2 linked regions of the Saccharomyces cerevisiae S288C genome follow. Changing the gene in region 2 together with the main gene of any one other region gives a genetic interaction. Each region holds a gene or a part of one and is shown on either strand. Other genes may lie near its edges. The genes, in order: COX8 and ERP5.

Region 1 (2,615 bases), on a different chromosome or scaffold from region 2:
GGACTAGAAATGGACTTGATTATCTTGGAAAGGAATACCGATCCTATAACGCCATTGTTGACACAACTTACGTATGCAGGAATACTAGATGATCTATATGAATTCAATTCTGGCATAAAGATAAAGGAGAAAGACATGAACTTCAATTATAAGGAAGATAAAATATGGAATGATTTGAAATTTTTAAATTTTGGGTCGATTGGGCCGCAGTTAAATAAATTGGCAAAGGAACTACAAACGCAATATGATACAAGGCATAAAGCCGAGAGCGTACATGAAATCAAAGAATTCGTTGATTCCTTAGGTTCTTTGCAACAAAGGCAAGCTTTTTTGAAAAATCACACAACCTTATCATCCGACGTTTTGAAAGTGGTAGAGACTGAAGAGTACGGATCTTTCAATAAAATCTTAGAGTTAGAGCTGGAAATTTTGATGGGAAATACACTTAATAACGACATTGAAGATATTATACTCGAGTTGCAGTACCAGTACGAGGTTGATCAAAAGAAGATTCTCAGATTAATCTGTTTATTGTCTCTTTGTAAAAATTCACTTCGAGAAAAGGATTATGAATATCTAAGAACCTTTATGATCGACTCTTGGGGCATTGAAAAATGCTTTCAACTTGAATCATTGGCTGAGTTAGGATTTTTCACTAGCAAAACGGGAAAAACTGATTTGCATATTACAACAAGTAAGTCAACAAGATTACAGAAAGAATACCGTTATATTTCACAATGGTTCAATACAGTACCCATAGAAGACGAGCATGCTGCCGATAAAATCACAAATGAGAACGATGACTTCTCGGAAGCCACTTTTGCTTACAGTGGTGTAGTGCCCTTGACAATGAGACTGGTTCAGATGTTATATGATAGGTCTATCTTGTTCCATAATTATTCCTCGCAGCAGCCTTTTATACTGTCAAGAGAACCTAGAGTTTCTCAAACGGAGGATTTAATTGAACAGTTATATGGAGACTCACATGCGATCGAAGAGAGTATATGGGTCCCGGGAACCATTACAAAAAAGATCAATGCAAGCATCAAGAGCAATAATAGACGGTCCATAGACGGATCTAATGGGACATTTCATGCTGCAGAGGATATTGCACTCGTAGTATTCCTCGGAGGTGTAACAATGGGTGAAATAGCTATAATGAAGCATTTGCAAAAAATACTAGGTAAAAAAGGTATCAATAAAAGGTTTATCATCATCGCCGATGGCTTGATCAATGGCACAAGGATCATGAACTCTATATCTTAATTATTATATGATAGATTTGTTAATTTTTTGTATATGCAAATGTGCTTTTTTTCACCAAACGGTTTGCACCAATCATACGAGAGAAGTGTTCGGTGTTTACGGAAAAGCTAGGGGACTAAGAAAAATTGAAAATAAAGGCTGACAGCAGTAGAAACCATTGTGCTGGCTTAGTGATTTATAAGAATGGTTAATTAGTTTTGTATCCTTTAATTTTCTAGATAGAGCCACAGAGCAAACTAAACAGAAAAGTTATCCATTTCCATTACGCAATGTTGTGCCAACAGATGATTAGAACGACAGCTAAGAGAAGTAGCAATATCATGACCAGACCTATTATCATGAAGAGGTCAGTACACTTCAAAGACGGTGTGTATGAAAATATCCCATTCAAAGTCAAAGGAAGAAAGACACCTTACGCCTTATCTCATTTCGGGTTCTTCGCTATTGGATTTGCTGTTCCATTTGTTGCCTGCTATGTTCAATTGAAAAAGTCAGGTGCTTTTTAAAACACCCCCATAAGTTTGAAGGATAGATGTGTGTACATAGCGTGCTTGGTTGAGACGTTTTAGAGTGTGTTCTTTGCTATTCCTAGGTGCGCATATCATCGTTTTATTTATTTGTACAATTTTCTTTTCATATATTCATAATCCTCTCCTTGTGCCTTCGTATTGAGACGGCGGGAAAGAAGGATCTAAGAAGAACATAATTCGACAAATTTCTTCTAAAATAATACCATATATAGTAACACATAAGAAAATAGAATAACTTTTATAATACAGTAACATACTCTATCTATTCTGAAGGCTGTTTTCGTCACGGGGAATCCTTACACCTATTTACCTAATCCTTCTAAACTTATTGTTTTTCTTGCTACTACCCAACACAGTATTACTTGAGCGAGGTGGCAGATGATTATCACTCTTCAAATGTGTATTAGTCAGTTGCTGAGTTGAATTGGACCGCTTTAGTATATTTGATTTCGGCAGTTTACTTTGTTGCAATGAGTTCGATGAAGATGAAAAGGCAAGACCACTGCTTCTTACGTGTGAGCTCAAGTTGTGTGTTATTCTATTCGAACCGCTGATAGTATTATTTCTCTTCCTTGTTATTTTTAATTTTTCTAAAGCTGAGGGAAACTGCGTCGAGGTACTTGTTAAAGGTGTATTTGAATGATGCAATTCTTTGAGGTTACTATTTGGTAAAATAAGCCTATTTGATGATGAAGATAGAGGCGAAGAGGGTTGGAGAGAAGCTGAAGATAATCTTGATATATTTTTGGAAGATACAGAGCCATTATTCGTGAGGATGTCAAGATTTGGCAACTTTCCATCGAAGCCTTTTGCAACACG
Region 2 (3,437 bases):
TGCTAGAATCATGAAGAACCTGCCTATGCAAATTGGAAGTCTCCACCACATCGTTATCTACTATGCCTATTTGGCCCACGCCAGCGCCCGCTAAGTAGGGCAAGGCGGGACATCCCAAACCTCCAGCACCAACTACCAAAACTTTTGTATTTTTCAACTTGACTTGACCTGCTACACCACCTGTTTCTTCAACAATCATTTGTCTTCCGTAACGTTGGTATTCTTCCAAAGATAATGGGTAGTCGCGGCTGCTGTCTTCTCTCTTGGCAAGCTGCTCTCTTAATTGTGCATTCTCCAATCTTAATGCTTCAAGTTCAGACGTGGTATCCTCGAGATGGTAGTCATTCATTGTTATTGACTTCTATTTACTTCCTTTTGCAGTCAACGGCATCAGCTTAAGTCACTCTTATTACTAAGCTAAGGAATATTTCATATCGAAGAGCTCATTGCACCGATTCGTAATGAGCGATATATAAACTCTATATAACAAACATGGTATATTATACTACCTTCTGTTTGACAAAGAAATTCTTGAGATAGCGTAGCTGGAAGGCACAGGTGCCCAGCAATATGAGAAGTTGGAACACAGACCACGTCATTATCTTGCTGTTAGCTGATTCACTTTGATTTCTGAATTCTGCCTCTTTTTCTCTGATAGCGTCTTGCTCCTTACGAATAGAAGATAGCCTTTGAGTCAACTGGCCTACCCTCCCCTTAAGTGAATTCATATCTTCTTTTTTCTTGCTGTCAAGCGCTTCAACATTGCCAATTTCTAGTTCGATGAATACTCTTAGTGTGGCTGATTTCTTGCTGTAGAATGGAGTGAAGCAAAATCTATGTTCACCTGTGTCTAAAGCTGTAAAAGTAACATCACCTGTGTGTGAGTTTTTTTGATTTAGGACACGATGGTCGTTATCGAATGTTTCATCGACAGTTATTGTCAGACTGGATTCAGGGTCCTCTTCAAACAGACCATCCTTTTCTACATATAGGTCTAAATCCCCAATCAGTAGGTTTCCCCGGGATAAGTGTTCATAGAAGCATTTGGTTTCCCCGGACTTCGCATAAAAATGGACAGCCCCTACAGCTTGGGTAATAGCAAATAATAGGCAAATTCCATGCACTATATTATATTTCATAGTAGCCTGTGAGACACCGAATGCTTGATGTGTTCCCTTAAGTAACTAGTAGTATTACACTACAAAGCTCCTCTTTTTTTGTCTCAAACGGAAAAGAATAAAACGCGAGAAAGAGACAGTGGAAAAACGCGTCAGATTGTTCTTTGTGATGCTTTTAATGTAGAAGAAAGGACAACTAAAAACATTTATATACAAGATCGTAAGTGGTACTCATCTAGTCATCCTGAAAGAAAGCCGCATATTGGCTTACCTCTTCTTGAAAAAAATCAGTAAACCTGCTGGGTGTATAATAAGAAAGATCCTCACAAATTGGGCTTGGCTCCTGCTTATCCGCAGAGATCTCTATGTAATCATCTAAAAACCTTAGAGGGGGGAGCCGTTCTGGTTCGGTGTCCAATGTAACATTCAGATCGCTGAAAAAAATGGTAGAGCTGCTATCGATAGCTTTTGCTAAGTCAGCAATTATTTCCAGTTCCTGCTGGTATAATATGCTTGCAACTTTTGAATCACTGGTAGGCCTAATAATTTTGGATCTACGAAACTCTAAAAATTTACGAAAGAAACTGGTAAACTGGGATTTGGTTTTGGTTGAGTCTTGCATTTCTTCTTGTTTAAGTACAGCGACCGCATCTTCACTGCATATATGTCTTTGCCGTACACAATCGTTTTCTGTATCTTTGTAACGCAATGACCAAGCTAGTGGCGGTAAATTTATGAAATCGTCACCATTTGACTCTTTCTCTTTAATGAGAGAGCGGTAGTTTTCTGCAATCATTAACGCATGTTCGTTGGCCTCGGGATTTATCAGACAATGGATTTTCGTGAACATCAAATGACATGTGGAATCGTACGCCCACCGAGCAATTTTGCCATCATCTATCGATGGAATGAATGGGAGCAAAAGCATATCAAATTCAGGCGTGGTGTCATTGAGAAACCAGCGAGTCTTTCCGTTGTGCTCGTATTTAACTAGTGGTACCACTGGATTTATGTGCATCCATTTGTAAAACAATCTTAAATTTGTAGTTTTATCTGGTCCATCATAGTTTCTTAAAAAGCACCTGTCAAAGGATACAGTCCAAAATTGGGAATTCCCTCTAAAATCTGGGGTGAATCCATATGTTACAAGCATGGAAAATAAATCCTCTGTTGGTGAGTAACTAATGAAAACTTCAATAGGTTTTGTGAGTTCACTTTGGACCGCTTTTGTATCCAATAGAAGTAAAACGTCATTATTTGAAGGGTCGATGTCAAAATAAGCATTTTTTTGGGTGCCTTCATGGTTGGCAAAATCTACAATAGGGACTAAAGTAGAATGGACCGTGAATTCTTCACTTTTGGTATCGGCCCTTTCTGGTATCTCTAAACAACGTGAAATTATTGCAGAATAAAGATGTTTGATATCACTTAAATTCAAGACGTCGTGAAACAGTTCTTTAAATAAATTTAGCGTCTCTCGAAGGCCAAAAATCTGTGGATAATGTCCATAATCAGTAGCTAAGTTTTCAATAGAATCCATGGCTGTTTCTACTTCAATGCTCATTAAAACATTTTCTAAATAATATTGGATATTTTCGGGAATCTCATAACGACTACGAATAGTTTGAAATATCATGAAATAAATTATGAGTAAATTTGTTTCTGTCAGGAACACACTGAAATTCGGATGAGCCATTATTTCACGAAGAGCAATCTTAATTTTGTCATTAGTTCTTTGAAATTCTTCCTTTGAAGAAAATTCGTCCTCATCTCCCAAGAGAGCCAGAAGTGTGTTTATATTAAACGTGCAGCGCTTAGGGATTCGGAGCAATTGGATAGTTTCACTTTTCAATTCATCATTCTTGAACTTCGAAGGTTCTACGAAAAGGCCATATCCACTTTTGGGGTCATCAATGGTGGATGGTTTTAATGAAAGGCTTTTATGAATGAAGATATTTCTAGAGTTCGAGTAAAAACGGAACACTTCCTCCATTTCAACTTTCCTTTTGGTTAACTTCGATTTTTCAGTGGTTATGAGGATGGCGAATTATACTATTTCTCTTTTTTTTCCTTTACACGATCTAGCATTGCTAACTACTTTTGATGCATGAAAACGCAACATATATTAGTAAGTGAAATATGTATTGTTGCGAAGATCTTTATAAGATTGTCTACATAGAGGTATTATCCTTCTAAAAATATACATAGAGAAGAGAAAGGATTGATAAGAAACGCCAGAGGATTATACATTAGGTAACGTAAAAACAGCAGTTTCTTCAGCTTGGGTGGAGTTGACAGAATAGTTGACCTTCCACTTGA

The links.
Region 1: mutations in ERP5 (region 2) and COX8 together harm fitness more than expected from each alone (negative genetic interaction), as found in Saccharomyces cerevisiae (2 studies listed by BioGRID).

Annotation. Positions count from the first base shown.
Region 1 is NC_001144.5:908,886-911,500, reverse strand, and holds COX8 (cytochrome c oxidase subunit VIII), read left to right. Parts: upstream 1-1,535; coding exon 1,536-1,772; downstream 1,773-2,615. Other genes in the region: tethering complex ATP-binding subunit VPS33, read left to right, coding at 1-1,266; SUMO ligase CST9, read right to left, coding at 2,103-2,615. UniProt on the Saccharomyces cerevisiae protein: Component of the cytochrome c oxidase, the last enzyme in the mitochondrial electron transport chain which drives oxidative phosphorylation.
Region 2 is NC_001140.6:329,984-333,420, reverse strand, and holds ERP5 (Erp5p), read right to left. Parts: upstream 1,140-3,437; coding exon 501-1,139; downstream 1-500. Other genes in the region: UBA4 (Uba4p), read right to left, coding at 1-349; CTM1 (cytochrome c lysine N-methyltransferase), read right to left, coding at 1,354-3,111; GGA2 (phosphatidylinositol 4-phosphate-binding protein), read right to left, coding at 3,361-3,437. UniProt on the Saccharomyces cerevisiae protein: Involved in vesicular protein trafficking.